Linked DNA regions of Drosophila melanogaster. The protein of the gene in region 2 interacts with the protein of the main gene of each other region in a pairwise test. Each region holds a gene or a part of one and is shown on either strand. Other genes may lie near its edges.

Region 1 (3,852 bases), on a different chromosome or scaffold from region 2:
GACACACTTCTTAACCTTTTAGTTGAGTGCGTCCAGTCACCGGCGGCCTTCTTCGCCAACCGCCTGTACAAGGCCATGAATGGCGCCGGCACCGATGACGCCACGCTCATCCGCATCATCGTCAGCCGCTCGGAGATCGACCTGGAGACCATTAAGCAGGAGTTCGAGCGGATCTACAACCGTACGCTGCACAGCGCCGTGGTGGTAAGTGGATCTCGAAGAATCGCGAGTGCTTCGCACATGGTTAACGCACCCCTTTCCCCTTCTCTTCACGTACTTGTCGGCATTTGTTGCGGTGTTTGTGTTGTCCTAGGACGTAAGTATTGGCCACGCCATTGGTGAAACGGATGTATTCCTGGTCTTGGTTACTCCACGTTATCAAGTGTTCCTTTTACGCTACATATGCTGCCAAAATCCCCATCAAATTATTTCTAAGAACGCCGAAGCAAACTGGTTCTTGGGCATTTTTCGATATCTCATTATTGGCTTGCCAAAAAAGTATTTTCGGGCAAAGTAGTAATTGTAGTGTAGAGGGCATAGCCAAAAAAGCAAGAACTTGGATCTCGCTTCAATACGTTCCTTTCTTTACTTTCCAGGCGGAGACCTCTGGTGACTACAAGCGGGCCCTGACAGCCCTACTTGGATCCGCCTAGGCCCGAGGATGTGGCAGCTGGTCCGCCCAATATTTTATTCGTGTTAATAGCTTTGATCGTAGTGTGCCTTTTAGGAAAATCGCTTTTAATGTCGTCTGCGCATGCGCACACTGTTGGCAATAAATAAACGCATATAGCAGCAGTTGTAACCAATGCGACGACTGACATAAACCTAGAGATCTGGGATCTGGCATCTAGCATCGGACATCGGGACTACTTAAAGAAGAGCTTGTGCAACTGCTTGGACTTCACGGGCACAAATTCTTGCATTTCATCCGGGTTGGTCCAGAAGGCCACACAGTTTTGAAGCTCAGTGCAAGGCGCCTCCCGATGGATGTACTCTTTCAGGATAAAGTCGTTCTCGATCTCGTGGTGGAAGCGGGTGTCGTGCATCCGGATTAGCACGTGGTCCACGCGCAGAAAGTGGCGCAAAAGGATGAAGAAGCCAGAGGGCATCACGCGCTGTGCCAGAAAGAGTTGGGCTTCTTCGATAAGGGCTCTATAATTTGTATTTATCAGCACTTACGATTCGCACGCTCATCACCGATATTCCGTGGTCGTGCAGCTCATCCTCGAACAGAGTTAAATCGTGGTAGAAGATGATGTTCTCGCGCTGCATCAGCTTGAACTTGTTCAGCGTCTGATTCGTGGTCTCCGATCGCACTTTTTCGTTCATGGTGCCCTGGTAGGTGGAGGTGAATGTCCAGTCGAAAGGCTTGAACTTCTCCTCCATTGTCTGCTCGTTACTGGAGTATAGAATTCAATCATTTGGGCGATTTATAGAGGAACAACAGTAGAACGATCCATATCCCAATCTCAATGGGAGTACCCACCGCGTTTCCCGCCACTCCTGAGCACAAGCGACCTCCAGCGGCTGCTTCCCATTGTCCACCAGCGCCAGCGCGTCCATGGGGCAGAACTCGAGAGTGGCGCCGTCCTTGTGCTGTAACACCAGCCGATTCTTGTGGAACACCATGTCGGGCAGGTGGGGCAGCTGCAGGGAGTGCTGGTAGTGGCAGAGGTCGCAGCGGTCGGCCGAGTCCTTGGGACAGCACTTGGCGGTGCCCAGTTGGCAGCTGCTCTTCAGGATGTGCGACTTCTCATACTTGATGGCCCAGTCGTGGAACTGGATGAACTCGCTGTCCACCGGCAGCCGGGGCACAAAGCACTGCAGGACGGGATTACATTGAGTGTTTGGCCATTGGAACTGGGCTATACCAACACATACCTCCTCCATGGACATTCTAAAGATATGTCAAATGATTTCAAAGTGTCTGTCTAAGTCGAAAATACTGTTCCAAAGCCCCCTATTGATCCTGTTAAAAATTTTTGTTATTATGTTAGGGATGCCAATGTCGATTACTTCTAAAGCTTAGCGGCGGTACTATCGAGGTTTTTCGATTGCAGCGCAATATTTAAATGCTATGGGGCGAAAGCAATCAAGTTGGCGTACTTGAGTGGATTCATAAGCTTATATAAGCCGTGGTTGTACACAATTCGAAATGAATCGCGTTTTTTGAAAGCTGCTATAGGTAAGGCGAAACTACATTCACATAGTTGTATAATTTTACAACGATAGTTATCGACATCTGTCAATCGGCGGGACTCTTGTTAAGCAATCGTCTGGCAACCCATGTGTTTTGTTTTTATCCAGGATCGTTAGTGTTTTTAACAGTTCCGTTTTCTGATGTGTATAATATTGTGAAGATTTTAGTTGGCAACCCAAGAACCGGAACCGGCAGCACGATGAATATCCTAAGGCGCCTGGACCGCCTGATCGCTCCCACCGTCCGCCGCAGCGCCGCCATTTCCACCAGCCTGTGGCCACACCGCTGGATGAGCCAGTCCACCACGATCTCCCCAGGAAGTCCCAGCAGCAAATCGACAGTAAACGCGGCCGAGGTGCGTGGCGTGGCTCAGATTCTGCGCCAGCAAAAGGGAAACCTGGGACAGCCCACCAGCGTCTCGCATCCACATCTTATCCAGCCGGACGAGCTGGTTCCGGGCGTGGAGCTGACCGAGATCAAGGAACGCCGTTCGCAGCTGATGCAAAACATCCGCGCCTATGCACGCAGTTTCGGCGGCGAGTTCAATGGGCACTCGAGTTCTTGTCACATGGTGAGGACCTGCAGGCTACAAAGAGAAGCAAAATATATAAACTTGAATCTCTGACAGCTCGTTCTGGGCGCCGCCTCCAAGAAGTATATGAGCGGCAAGATCCCGTACGTGTTCCGCCAGAACTCGGACTTCTACTACCTAACTGGCTGCCTAGAGCCGGACGCCGTGCTACTGCTGACCATCGACGAGGCCCAGAACGTGCAGTCCGAGCTGTTTATGCGTCCCAAGGACCCGCATGCCGAGCTGTGGGATGGTCCGCGCACTGGGCCCGAGCTCGCGGTGCCGCTTTTCGGAGTCACTGAGGCCCATCCGCTGTCCCAGCTGGAGGCGGTGCTGGCCAAGCGCGCAGGCGCCCTAAAACCACACATCTGGTTCGATCAGAAGAGCACCGACCTGCCGTCCCTGGCGGAGAACATGCTGCGATTGAGCGGCAATCAGCAGCGTCCGCTGCTGCCGGCCTACACTTTCCTAGAAGCCATGCGCCTGCTTAAGTCCCGCGACGAGATGCAGTTAATGCGGCGCACCTGCGACATAGCCTCACGCTCGTTCAACGAAGTGATGGCCGAGACCCGGCCAGGTCAGTCGGAGCACCATCTGTTCGCCGCGATTGACTACAAGTGCCGCATGCGCAACGCCAGCTACCTGGCCTACCCGCCGGTGGTGGCTGCCGGTAAAAACGCCACGGTGATCCACTACGTGGCCAACAGCCAGTTGTTGGGTCAGCAGGATCTCGTGCTGATGGACGCCGGCTGCGAGTATGGCGGCTACACCAGCGACATCACACGCACCTGGCCGGCGAGTGGGGTTTTCACGGAGCCGCAGCGCACACTGTACGACATGCTGCACCAGCTGCAGGAGGAGATTATTGGCAACGTGATGAAGCCGGGCGGCGAGACGCTCGACCAGCTGTTCGAGACCACCTGCTACAAGCTGGGCAAGTACTTGCAGGAGATCGGGCTGGTGGGCAAGTCGTTCAGCGAGTACAAGGAACTGGTCAGCCAGGGCTACCGCTTCTGTCCGCACCACGTCTCCCACTACCTTGGGATGGACGTGCACGACACACCGCACGTGCCACGCAACA
Region 2 (3,892 bases):
AGAGCAAATTCACATGGCGTTTCTGGTCATTGTTCACTGCGTAAACATTTGTAAATTTGCTCTTTTTCAGGTGTATACACGGTGCAAACAAAACTCGACTGAACGGCTAAAAAATGGTCATAAAATAGCATTTGACAAATGACGCACTTCCTGTCAACGCACACAATCACAAACGCATACAATCACACACGCACACATTTATCCCTTATCGGTAACTTGTAAAAAGAGGTCGAAACAATTGCATTGCTTTTAAACATGAATCTGCTCACATAGTTACACAGTTTAACAATATAATAATTCATTGTTTGAATTTATTTATGAGCGCAGCTCAAATATTTAATATGCACAAACGGCAGTTTGTTTAAATGTAATTTAGTGGAATAATTAAACAAATGCGGATTTTATTCAAAACTATTTAGTTGCTGTCCGATTGACTAACCTTTTTGTAAACGAGATCCTATTAAAATTTAACAAGTAATCATAAAATACATTTTCTTACAGTTCTTACGCCAGCCATCCAATTTGTTAGCTCACTAACTTTGCAGCGAAATTATAAAAAAGGCTTTAATTGCATAATTAAATTTATTGGCTGTACAATTTTCCATAAGGTAATTTTATCAGTTTTGCAGAGAATAATTGCAAAATTAAATGAGCTAATTAAACCATTTCCAAGTGGAATAAAAAGGCTCATTTACTTTGCAATTGGATCAGTTTTAGCAACCCAGACTTAAATCCGTTTTCAACAGATACTCGACGCGACGTTTTTCCTTAGGAGGCAGTTGAAAGAATTTTGAGACAAAGTTATTCAGTTCCCTCTTTGTATGCAGTGGGGGCCACATTGTTTTATAGCACAGGATTCTAGAAAAGCCACGAAAGTCCCGGTTAATTTATGTTATCATTTCTAACTTTTAGCTTACTTCTTCAGGAAAAACTGGTCGCAGATATTGCGTTGATTGGCAATAATGTGCTCCATTTCGTGAAGGAACTGCCTATCATATTTCGCTTTGGAGTCCAGATACCGCACATAGCAATTAAGATCGCTGGAAATAATGGTGTGTCAGGAAACCTAAGTAACTCAGCAAGTTCTTTCTTAACTGACTACTGAAAGTGCTTTATATCGTAGCTGGGATGCAAACTGGCATCGGCCTCGTCGTGGAACTTGATCCTTGGCTCATACCACTCGTCGAGCTCCTGGAGACGATGGAACTCATATCGGGAAGCAAGTCCTGACAAGGAAACCAACGAAGTGGTCTTCGTCCTAGTCAGGAATTCCTCCACTTTCTTAGCCTTCTCCTGGGCCTTGGCCACAAACTTCGCGTTGAGGCGGTGAACTGGTACATTTTTACCCCGCAGGACATCTCCCGCTGAGGGGATCGACTTAATGGTTACAAGGCTCGTCGCGGACATGTTGAAAATTTGATACTGCTCTTGGGAAACTGGAGATTTTTGAGATATATTAAATGGCTTATTTATGCGGTGACTACTTTGATTCGACAATTAACGCTTTAATAAATACGCCACATAGTTGTCACCGTCAACAACATCTGAGTCCTTGGGGAATTATTGTTTTAAGCCGCTGGTGTTTATAAATATACATGGAAACAGCCGAGAACATCATGAGGATTCATCAGACGATATATGGAAAGGGGTCAGGCTGCTGTATTTTATTTACACGGCCATTCACATTGGCATTTCAAAAATCATTCATTAATTTTTTAATTCAACAATCAGGCTGGTTCAAAGTGGCGTGGAATAAAAACCAAAAAAGGAATCTCTGTAATAATATCACATGCAATTATTGCAGGCAATATGCATGCAATTATGCTAAAGGATATCCATTGTAAAAAAAACTTTGCAAGTGAGCCCGAAATAGAGTTGCGAACTCGAAAGTTCTCAATGCGATTGGATAGCCTTTGTAATTATGATGTCCCTAAAAAAATGAAAAACTAACAGGGCCCTGTTCGAACTTTCATTGACTTATTTGTACCCTTAATAATGGTCCCTCCTAATAATCTATGAGGAGTAGTGCGACTGCTAATCTACCCACATTTGCACCCATTATCCAGGTGTGGTCGAAAATTATTCTCAAAAAGATTCCACACATTTTCGCGCCATTAAACATGCATTCGCGCATTTAATTTCATTTTTTGAACCGCCCGAGTTGACGGAACAGAGCCATCAGCCGGACCACAAGAGTGGCCCACTGAAGGGGGAATAGGAGCTGCCGCCGACAGGAGAGTTGGCCAATGTTTGCACAGCAAAAACATGGCCCAAAACGCTGGGTCTATTAAGAGCACATTTGACCAAAGTCGGGGCTCCGGCACGTGTGCAATGAAAACAAACGAGCCCATTATTGTTACACTTTTCTTTGGCAACCGGCCGCAGAGACCATTAATGATGTGTTATGGCCTCAAGAGGCCGGCCTAGCCGATCCTTGAACTTTGGCCAGGCAGAGCCTGTGAATTGAACTCTAATTGCAGATAATGAATTGCTCGCATTAGGTCAACGAACAGTCGTCCGGATTGCCGCAAAGTGCCTAATGGAAATGCAATGAACTATTTATGGGCATAAGTAGCCAGCAATTGGCTGACTGAAGTTTGATCACGCACTGGGATTATTAATGCCGAGACAGGTCGACTTCCCTTTAAAGTGCTCATCTCATCAATTTGTGGATGTTTTCCCTTGGCCTTTTGGCCAACCGTCATTTTGGTCGCCACAAAATTGACAGCAGCTTTCCCACAGCGCGTAATGACAAAACAGTGACTAAAATGTTAACAACAAATCCAATTTATTTCACCGACCGGCCTACGAGGGACATTAATTACCAGATGGATCACGTATAAGGTATTAAATGCAAACTCAATCTGCCAATGGGGAAATGGCCAAATAACAGAGTGGTTGGTCAAATCTGGGCACACAAACTAACACAATCTGCTACTAATTCCCACAAACTGCATTTAAAGATAGCGGATTTCATTTAATAGAATGTGTTCACCGCCATTGATAATATTAATATAAATATAAATATAAACGTCATTCAGAAAAAGCGTTAAACAATAAACAATAAACATTGACAATGGTCGATGGTCAACGAGAGTGTAAACAACAAGATTTACTGCCATATGCTAGGGGATTACGGGTGTAATTGTACGCCACTTCGAAATGACATTGAACCAGACATGAAAATTGATTTTGGGCCTGATGCCGAGTCCATTACGGAAATAAGTTTGCTGAGCACTCGGACCATATTTTCAAAAACATTTGTTTATTGGGCAATTATTTTACTGGGTTGCCGGCGGACTTCGCCCCGGCAGAATGAAACAATTTCACTTATGCACAAGTATTTCATATTGTCACAAATTCATTTTCATTTCAAGCCCTCGCTCCAGTGTCCCCAAAATTCAGCAATCCAGACATAATCTCTGTCAAGCCCACACACATTTTTGCACAGATGTTTGAGCAACTCAACTGAGACTTTAGAGACTTTGCTGCTTCCTTCATTGTTAGTGGGTCCATGGTCAAGTTTTAATTTATTTGATGACTGCGAAATTGTGCACCTTCTTCTCCAGTGGAGGAAGTCCCAGGATGACTTCTGTATAGTTTTGCAGGCAATTAATTTCAGCCATGGCTCCGAGCATTATTCTCCTCGAGGACGACATATTTTAATTTGATGAAGACCTAATAGGGTTTCGAGCATATGTTTCACTGCAAAACTTGTGAGAGGGAAAAACTTTCAATGCAAATGAGTTGGCATATGGCTCAACTGTCACGACAACTATATACGACAATGGCGTTTCGGATGAGGATTTCTATAAGCCGAAGATTTCGCCGCTATGAGTTCTAAGGAATCGGCTGGAATTGGGTCGAAAACATTCGTTGGAACACCGCCCCA
Region 3 (5,169 bases), on a different chromosome or scaffold from region 2:
CCCCATTTATAGCTTCATATGCTAATTTTAGACGGCACATGTAGCCACACACACACAATAGTACGCAGTTTACAGAAATATTTAAGCAGCCATTGTTGCTGAATTTTGTCTAAAATATCAAGGCCTTGGCCTAATTGGATTACAAATCTCGCTGAGGAAGCATCAAATTCTATAAGATACATAAATAAAAATCTCATTCGTAAATAATCAGCAACACATTATTTTTCTTGAGTGCCTTTTAAATATGTAACTAAACTTTGATTCGCTAAAAGTTCAATGACATCTTAGCAGTTAAATGTGGTTTAAGACTCGAACTGATTTCGGTGAGTCAGCAGCTTACAATATTAAGGGGGCACTTTAAACGCAAGAGCTCTTAACCAAAAAAAAAAAAAAAACGGGCATTAAGTTCTGAGATTATATCGATTCTTTAGATTATTGTCCATAAACGTTTTTATTTGTTAAGTAGTAAGCTATGTATAGTAAGCTGCTGTATGATTATTTATGCTATATAGCTTCTAAATCGATTTCAAATGAAAAGGTTAACGAACAGATAGCACAGAATTTCTTTTATTTATTTTCGTTAGATACTTTTGACCTTCTCGATTTATTGGAGACCGTTACCGAAACCTATAAATAAGCATTTGGAACGGGAAAACGGCAACCAGAGTCCAACGAAAGCATCGTTCATCACGCTGACAGCGAATTAGAATCGGTATTCGATATAGTTATATATGTATATATTTGTACATATTGGACCAATGTGCCCGTGTTGCGGGTCAATGCCAATAAGAAAGTCGCGTGCGAAACGGTTTACGAGATCGTACGCTCTCGTATTCTCGGGTTTCGTACATATCTGGTTTGCACGACACAGAGTGGAGTATTCGAGTATTCATGAGGTTGCTGCCGCTGCCGCTGCCTCTGACAATTTTGTTTACATTTTTGGTGAGCCTTTCGTTGTTGCTGCCTCTGCCAGAGATTTTCTAATAAACCATTTCAGGAACCGGTTTTCGGTTTGATTTCGTGAACGGTTTTCAGTTTTCAGTATTCAGTTTTGCTGCCTGCCACAAAGAGGAAGAGGGCATCAAATTTCAGTCCCCGCATACAAACACACACACACACACACACACATGCTGAAAATTGGGCAGAAAAGCTTGTTTTAAACAAAAAACGAAGCTCTTTCTTTTCCATGAACAGAGCGACAACACTTTCAATGGGCCCGCTGCGATCCGCTTGAATGGGCATTTTGGCAACAATAATCCTCGCCATCAACCGGGGGTTGATGTTGCCTCATAGATTTTCGGTCTAAGATTAGCATAAAGCACTCCAAACAAAGGCAACCACAAGTCCAGACGCTCGCGATAAGGGGCACAATGAAGGTGTGGATACAATTGCAGCGATAAACATGTTTAATCAAAGGATTCGCATCTCTTCCCGCCGACTTGACACACTCAATGGGACGACCAGTCAGTCCATCGAAAGTCACGATAGACTCCACTTTCCGACTTTGAAACCCTTTTCTTTACTGTGTCTTTGCATAATTTATAGCACATTTAGTTGCTCATCATTTCTGGGGCACACCTCCGAATGCTCCATTAAAACCAGTGACCCTTGAGCAAAAGTTTCGAATTCACAAGCAGAGCATTTCCTTGTTATGGTGCATAAATTTGCAAGCCATTAAAAAACAAACGAAATATATAATAAGAGTACTGTTATATTTGGAATCTAGCACTTACACATTTTACGTTTAAAAGCCTATTTTCTAGCAAAACATTTGTGCAGCTGCTTTCAAGCACTTAAGCGTTGAAATATATTCATTAAAATACTTTCAGGTTAAGTCGGGTTTGGTCGTACATCTTATAAACATTATATGCTATACTAATCACATTTATTTATTTATTACAAAGAGTGTAACGACCCAAATTGGATAGACTTAGTATTAACAGGTGGAAATGAGAATCTATAACTCGAAACCTAAGCTAAACATCATAAACTTTTCAGCAATATCTAATTGGACAATTAGGCCACTTGATCTCCTTATTGCCATTTAATAGGAAGTTAAGCCTGCAATATTTACAGTATAAACAGGTGGACAAACATAAACTTTGATTGCAAAACTAATTACAGAAACCGCTTTACCATTCAATGGCTAAACTCTAGTGTAACTAATTATAATCATTAAACTAGGTGCACTAATAGAGGGGGACTTACCTTCAATGCAGACCACATGGTCCCGAATGGACTGGGCTATCTGGGCATCGGCCATGGGCAGCAGATCGATCAGTTCGTATATGGCATAGATGGATGGGTGGACGCTCTCGAATCGCTGGATCTCCTGCCGGATGGCCAGCGAGTTGCTGATGAGCGGCTGGGGAGGATGGGCCACCAGGATAGATGCTGATGCCGATGCCGATGCTGATGATGATGGCGCTCCGGAGGCGGAGGCTGCTGCAGTGGGCGCGGCATGGTTATGGCGTTGCGGGGGCGGCAACTGGTTCTGGTGGGGATTCTGCAGCTGATTATGGACCTGCTGCGGATGCGGATGCGAGAGCGCGTGCGGATGCGAATGCGGATGGTAGTTACTCATGGCGGGGGCGGTGGAATCGAGAGTTAGCTAAGTTTTTAATTAACTTAATTTACTGGCACATACACTCGTCACGCACACACGGCACACACACAGGCACGAACACTACAAAATTGCGATGGCACAGTTTTCCCAAACGAACAACATTTTCCAATAACAACAATCGGGGCAATAAATGCGCTAACTCGACCGATTTTGGAGTCGCAGTTTTCAGTTCACTAGATCGATTTTGCACCTGCACAAACAATCAAAACACTTTTGTTTACGCTATTACAGTACACAATCAAATGGCATTTTTCTAACAGTTATATTTGATACACTTTATATTTAGTTATTTTGCACTTTTCTCCGTTTTTCCCGATGCGTGCGCTTTATTTGACAGCGAAAAGGCGAAAATTTACTACGAAACCAACAGAAAAGTGCGAGAATTTACGTCGAGCGCAGCCGAGTATGTAAAAGTATGTAGTTGGTGCGAGGCGTTCCACAACAAACTGTGGATGAAGAGCAGGTACAGTGGTCACTCTACAGAGCGAACTTCCACCAACTCAAGTGGGTGATTAATTTTTAACTAACAAGATTTTGTACTATTAATTTACAAGTAATGGTTAGATAGTGTACAGTGATTTCATTACACCAGACACACATGTAATCACGGGATTAATTCGGAATATTACACTTATGGAGTAAGCACTGTACTATGAAGTGCACGAGAAATACCAAAAACGCCAACCAGAAAAATCACCGTAATAGACATAAATACTATATTTGTTTGGACTGGTATCGATAGTAACATAATGTAGTTAATTTATTTCAATTAAGTGCCATATATATGAATAGATTTTAAGTCAATATCTTTGTAACTACAATTCAACCAATTTAAAAAAATAAATATTTCACTTGCCGTCTAAATGCCAATTGGAGCGCTCTAGGCTCTTATAAGCCATAAGTCCGTTAAGCTCACAGCGGCAACTCTGATGGTATCGATAGGCACCGGCTGCTTACCGATAAGTTCATGCACTGCATGTCGTAATCGTAATTTGTTAAAAAACACATTTAATTAATTAAAACTTTACCAAAATGGCACAAAGTAGGCTTGAAAAGATTGGCACAATCTTCACCAGGTATTTACCCTCCTACGAAATATCTGTGCAAGCTTTAAACACCCGACTCTTGCAGAGTTCAGGGCCTCCTACGCGGTGGAGCTATGAAAACCGAGGATAAACCCATTTGGTACGATGTGTACGCCGCCTTTCCGCCGAAACTGGAGCCCCGATTCGACAGACCCGCGCCTGAGATTCCAGTGCGCCAGATATTTTATGCCGAGGATGTTGTCCGAGCGTATGTTTTTCACCTGCAGTCGGGCTTATACCAATACTGAACTAATCTTGTACACCAACAGAAAGCTGCATAAAGAAAACAAACCCCAGGAAACGATATCCCTGTTTGACCACAGGCGCAGCACGCAGTCACAGCAATTTGTCCAAATATACCAGGACCTGAAAGGACAAGGAGCCCTGGATGAGCAAAGGATCTACGAGACCGCACTGGATCTTTTGGCGGAGCAGCGCCAGCAGGCCCGCCTGGAGACTACCCCAGAGGAATGCCTGCCAGAGCAGGATTCGGAATCCAAGTCCCAGCTGCTGAGCGACTTCAAGGAGGCTGTGGTGAGCCAGCAAATCACGTCGTCACCAGCACCACCTGCTCCCAAGGGAAAAAAGGAAGCGAACGTGGGCATTAACATAGACAGCTTGTTCAAGGATTAGGCGGAACATCTTTTATAAACTTAAAATAAACTTGTTATATGTAAATCAAACGGCCAATGCATCGTTTTGGGACTCGTGGCTGAGTTGCGTCTGCAGGTTTGACAGCTTGTTCTTCAGCACCTGCACACCCATGACCACAATGTTCTCAGGCTTAAGGGCACCGGCGGATTCGACGTTGAAGAAGAACTTGTTTGGCTTGGCTTCCCAGTTGTAGGGCGCCTCGTACTGGTCGTCCTCCAGTTCGGTGTGCTCGCTCTTTGGCCACTCATCAGGTTTGGGATACAGAGTGTGTCGCATGGAGTTGTCCGGATCATACTCGAAGCACACGCCTGCGGTAGGATTCCACTTGGCGTGCTCCTTGCCAAATCCCTTCTTGGCGTAGGCGCGCAGCTTCAGCTCCTGCCCCTTGCGCAGCTTAATTATGAGGATCTCATCGTTGCTCTCGCCGTACTCGTTGTCCTCCTCACCCTGGTTGCGGGACGTCACCGGCAGGACCTTGGCATTGCTCGACTTGAGATCGGCGGTGGTCACGTGGCGCGTCTGTTCCTCGCTGCACTTTACGTCCAGGGTGAACTCCACGCTGCATTCGGGGCAGAAGTCCAGGCAGATACAGTCACGCGTGTACTGCAGCCGCTCCACGACGTCGTCGGAGATCAGCGGTATCAGACCGATCCGGTGGGCTAAAAACTCATCCGAGAGCACCGTAGAGTTGGCTTCCAGTTGCACCCAGTCGATGGCCAGCGTCGGCGTCTCCGCGATGAACACTCGCCGCAGGCTGTTGGCCACACTCAGTTCCGTGTCCTCCAGGACGAACTTTACGTTGTC
Region 4 (5,028 bases), on a different chromosome or scaffold from region 2:
AAGGCGGAGGCTGCCTTTAAGGTGGGTTCTTTCTTTAGCCAAGCCATTGGAAATCCCTTACCAAGTTCGTTTACAGCTCAATTTAACTGGCAGCGGCATGGGCACTGGCCACAAGCTGAATTCCCCCAAACAGGAGACTCCTTCAAGTAGTTCCCGCCAAAAGTATGAGGCCTATGTGCCACCAAAGCGAAATGAAATAAGTAACGAGGCCAGGGCAGCTGCCAGTGCGGCACTGGCGCGCATTGACAAGAAAACATCCAGGGAATTCAATACCTCGCTGTCGGCAGTGAAGGCACAGGCTAAAAGAGAGCTGGAGGCAGAGCGTCGCCAGAGAGAGGAAGCCATGGGCACGCCATCAACGACCAGCACATCCACATCGGCTTCCGGCGGCGACACTCGCAACCTGGCCTGCGAAGGCGTCTTCTTCCGCTGCCCCCTAATCAGCGAGGAGATTCTACCCAAGAGCGTGTGGAAGGTTCGCATCAAAGAGTTCCTCTACCAGCAGCTGGAGGCAGATCGCGGCCTCACCGCCTGCCTGATCATCCACAATTGCAATGTTAAGGAGAAGGCCGACGAGTGCATTGCCACGCTAATCCGATATCTGGAGAATCTTATCAAGAATCCCGAGGAGGAGAAGTTCTGCAAGATACGGATGTCCAACAAAATCTTCAGCGAAAAGGTGCGCTACGTGGAGGGTGCCCTGGATGTTCTGCAAGCAGCGGGCTTCAACGAGGTCCAGATCGATGGCGAACCCTTCCTTTTGTGGACCAAGGAGCAGACGGAGAAGGATCTCGACTTGCCCACACTAGTGGAAGCTCTCAAGAGCTCGGAGATTATTCCCCTGGAGCTGGATCGCAACATTAAGGTCCTACTTCCATCGCAGGCATGTCGTGTCGCCCTCCCCGACGAGTTTTATCGCCTGTCGCCGGAGGAGATCAAGAAAGAGCAACAGCTGCGATCCGAGGCCATTGCCCAGTCACAGATGCTGCGGACAAAGGCGATGCGGGAACGCGAGGAGCAGCGCAATTTGCGCATGTATCGATACGCTTTAGTCAGGGTTAAATTTCCCAATGGACTCTTTATACAAGTAAGCCATTCCGCGATGATGTCATCTGAAGTAATTTTATGTAATAAGCCGAATCATTTTCAGGGCACTTTCAATGTGTACGAAAAAATATCCGATGTGTTCGAGTTTGTCCAATCTTGCCTGGCGGACGAAAGCCTGGATTTTAGCTTGGTGTCCAACAGCGATGGCAAACTGGGCGATGAGGACTTGGAAAAGACACTATATGACTGCAAGTGAGTGATGCAATAATGTTTTCTTTAGGTACAACACTACATGATTTCCTTCATTTCAGACTCATTCCGAACACTCTGCTGCTGTTTAGCGCCAATGATACACCCGCTCCTTTGCAAACGGATATAAACTACTTAAAGGAAGACCTTCTAATGCTGGTGCAGGCTATGTAGAAGTGCTTTAACCCATATATTCAGCGGTATTTGTCCCTTATATTATAACAGAGCTGTTGTTATTTATTACTTTCAAATCTATTATTCAAAATCAATTATAAACGCACTTTACACAAAAGAAAATTTCTTTAAATTAATTTGGTTATTTGGCTGTTGCTACTTGTTCGCTTGAAATTTATTTATATTAAAAACTTATTTTTATATATTTGCTTAACTAAATACATACTTTCAAGCCACTGTGCGTCAAACAGCTGTTTGGTATCTTTTTGGCTGCGGTATTTCAGGTGGGCTTTTAAGCTTACCTGCAAACGGTCTTACTTATTGCAAAAATAAACAAAAATTGCAACGCTAGCAAGTGGAAATTGACGAATTATTATTTAACTATGAGCTTAAACTGTGAGCTGTGAGGAATTGTGAAAAGTGCACGAATCGCTGAACTATTTGGTGCTATGTAAATGTTAGTGAGTACGCAAGTCTAGAATCATATGTTTGTACCAAACAATAACAAAGTGCGGCCAATTGCATTTTGACCATAATTCCATTAACAAATGCCTAATTGTTGCTTAGTCACATTAGTTTCGGGGCTCAAAAAGTCATAAATAATGCCATTAATAAGCGGAGCAAATGTTACGCCTGTTTTGGAAGTTTCCCGCACTCTTTTGTGCGGTCAGCGCATCGCGTGGTTCCGCTGAAAACTTGTGGCCCACTGTAATTTCCCAATCCACGCGACTTTTCCTGGCCATTATCGAATTATTAATAGCATGTGGGTGCAATTTGTTGATGCGGACTACTAATTAAGCAGGCAGCTTGATCGTACGGCTGTCACATTTTAGAAACTGCTTGGAACTTAGCTCAATAATCAACCCTCTTTTTAACAATACGATATGAACTTATATGATCAATTTGAATTAATAGTTTAAACACATATTATCAGACTCATTAACTTACAACAAATGTAGCTTATCAATATACCCAACAAAGATACCTTAGAAAGATAAGATTATGCTATATAATAGATATATATGAATCCCCTTTGTTTCCAAAACATTTACACGAAATGAGAAAGTACATATATCGTATATCGTATATCGTGGGAGCCCAAAACTGGAGCATTGATCCTAATCCCAAGCTGGCTTCTTCGCTGCCACTAAACAAACAGTTGCATTTAATGAACCAATTTCGCAGTTGGCCTTTACTGTCTATCACGGCGGCATCGAAAACGGCCAAACTAAAAGTCTGTGGAGGAGTGAGGAGAGGAGTGGGTAGATTAAGGAGTGCTTCGCCCAGGCTCCGGGCACTGGCAATTTGGCGTAAATCTCGCTTGATCTTGGGAAAAGGTAAATAGAAAAGCAGCCAAAATCAAACATTAATGAATCTCTACGGCTCAGGGCTTAAATTAAGCCAAGCAATCGCGCCAAATCGAAACACGCAGCCACGAGAAGCCAAATAAAAAGCAGGCAGAAAGCCAGAGACTGCAAGCCATCGCATAAATTGGCCTGGGCTGGAGCCAAAGATTTCATTGTTGGCCATTGCTTATTATGGCCGGGCAGCGGATCTAGGCCTTCATTAAACGGCCAAAGGCAGCGGCTGCAGTTGCACCGGGAGAAATGTCACCAAAGTTGGTAGGCTACAGTTCTTAAATGATACTCAGTCCAATTAAGTGACCTTTTTTAATGCCTTATCTTTAAGATGTGTATTTAAATAAACCCTTTTGAAACTTTAGCACATCTTGCATACACGGCTTTTTCTCCCTGTGTACAATAGAGCCTTATTTCAACTTTGGTCCGCGAGGCTAGTGCGTGAGATATGCATTATTTATCTAGCGAAATTTTTCTCATTGCTGCAGCGGCAACTTGTTGCAGGCAGACTTCCTGGTTTCTTGGGCCCAGCTGCAGCCACTGCAGCCCAGCCAGGCCAGAAATTCCAAAATGATACGAATAGTTTGTTTCTGTCGGGAGATAGCGAGAAATATGTGGGACATCCTGAGGATCGTTGTCTTCTCTTTTTTTATTTTTTGGGGGGGAGCTGGAGATGGGGATGTGGATAGGGATTACGAGTTAGGGGTTAGCTGTTACCCATTGCCGGGTTGCAACCTGCACGTGCCTCGCCTCGCTGCGCCGCCTGATTGAACGATTGAAAGATCATCACCCGGCGCAAAATATCTGGCTGTACATAATGATGATGATGAGGTGCAAATTGCCGCTGCCATGAAATTGCAAATCAACTCTCCTGACTCCCGATTGCACTTCATTCTAAATTGTTTGCTCAACCCAGCAGCTCAGCCGTTTTGGCACTTCTTTCGCGAATCCTCCGGCGCCGGTGCAAAAATTGCAAATCGAATTTGCCAATTGCCGTGCTGCCTTCGCATCGCTCCACTCTCCGGTTGATTTGTTTTTGTGGTTTGGCCACGAACCAACCGCATTGCCCGCAAAACGGCAACAATTGCGAACCCGCCCTTTAACAAGCATTTAGCTTGCTCCGCCAAGCTCGTGACCCATTCCCATGCCCATTCCCGCTGCCTAGTGGCCAAGAACTTCTCCAATACGCCGGGCATGTTTATGACCCGGCTCGAAATTGAAGTGGAAATCGGTTAGCAAGCAGTGGGTTCGCTTTTCGATTTGTTTTTATCGCTCCACGCAAGCGCCCTGAATTTGCATATTTCTGCCTGCATTTGAACCCTGAACTCGAGGGGCCAAAGGAAATGCGATCCCAAAAAAGTGAGCAGGAAGACAGCGGCGTTAGTTCGCTCCTGGCGGAAATACTTCCCCTATGACGGGAAAAACAAATAAATAACCATAATTAAGGCTTGTGCTTTAATTAACACCACTGAACTTGGGCGACACAACTGGCATAGTAAGAAATGATATTTCTGGAAGCCGGAAGCAAGTATACTCTTTTGCATTCGATACAAATAGAATATAAATATTTGTATTCATGCTTATAATAATAAGTTAACTACTTATTATTATATAATAATAATTATAATTATATAATTATAATATAACCAATAAAAACAAGTTAAAATATAACTTTAATAATCATTAAAATACCATCTTTATCTTTAACTATTAACTAGTTCACATTATATGCTCCAATTTACCCTACCATGCAACCTATCACAATTCGCAATCAAATAAGAACTTCCGGTCCACTCAGCGAGTGTTTTATGAATGAAAATCTTGTCTCATTGTCTCAGCCAGCTCCTCATCCCCATCCCCATCTCCATCCACATCGCCATCATCATCGCTGTCCAGCAGTCGATCTCGATGTCCATCGTCCGATGGTCACGCTCATCGCCAATTAGTGCAATCAACAGTGCGGCTGAGATGGTGGGTGCGGTTTTTCTGGACCTCAGTGACTGGGTGCTTCATCGGGTTGCATTTGGTTGGACCTCAACCTAGGCAATTGCTAGGGAAATCTTACAGAGTTCACTTGATAAGATTAATTGACTCGGCCTCCCTTCGGTTTGTCAGCTAAAATGTAACACAATCCCTGGTGTAGTGGTAGAAACTTTAAGCTATTGAAATATTAATATGGGGCTTGGACCTACAAAGTACC

What was found.
Region 1: the proteins of CG11286 (region 2) and CG9578 interact in a two-hybrid assay, tested with the Drosophila melanogaster proteins (one large-scale study listed by BioGRID).
Region 3: the proteins of CG11286 (region 2) and CenG1A interact in a two-hybrid assay, tested with the Drosophila melanogaster proteins (one large-scale study listed by BioGRID).
Region 4: the proteins of CG11286 (region 2) and Ntan1 interact in a two-hybrid assay, tested with the Drosophila melanogaster proteins (one large-scale study listed by BioGRID).

The regions. Positions count from the first base shown.
Region 1 is NC_004354.4:20,168,393-20,172,244, reverse strand, and holds CG9578 (uncharacterized protein), read right to left. Parts: upstream 2,024-3,852; 5' UTR 1,897-2,023; coding exon 1,882-1,896; intron 1,822-1,881; coding exon 1,487-1,821; intron 1,400-1,486; coding exon 1,180-1,399; intron 1,116-1,179; coding exon 867-1,115; 3' UTR 719-866; downstream 1-718. Other genes in the region: AnxB10 (annexin B10), read left to right, coding at 23-204, 314-316, 597-653; CG9581 (uncharacterized protein), read left to right, coding at 2,400-2,771, 2,829-3,852.
Region 2 is NT_033777.3:7,770,294-7,774,185, forward strand, and holds CG11286 (uncharacterized protein), read right to left. Parts: upstream 1,464-3,892; 5' UTR 1,408-1,463; coding exon 1,100-1,407; coding exon of another isoform or gene 1,099-1,099; exon of another isoform or gene 1,041-1,098; coding exon 918-1,040; intron 859-917; coding exon 714-858; 3' UTR 567-713; downstream 1-566.
Region 3 is NT_033779.5:13,833,472-13,838,640, reverse strand, and holds the start of CenG1A (centaurin gamma 1A), read right to left. Parts: upstream 3,078-5,169; 5' UTR 2,585-3,077; coding exon 2,209-2,584; intron 1-2,208. Other genes in the region: mRpS23 (mitochondrial ribosomal protein S23), read left to right, coding at 3,659-3,702, 3,758-3,919, 3,981-4,344; Polr2C (RNA polymerase II subunit C), read right to left, coding at 4,390-5,169.
Region 4 is NT_033778.4:18,654,979-18,660,006, reverse strand, and holds the start of Ntan1 (N-terminal amidohydrolase 1), read left to right. Parts: upstream 1-1,784; 5' UTR 1,785-1,931; intron 1,932-5,028. Other genes in the region: Gint3 (GDI interacting protein 3), read left to right, coding at 1-21, 77-1,087, 1,151-1,299, 1,359-1,470.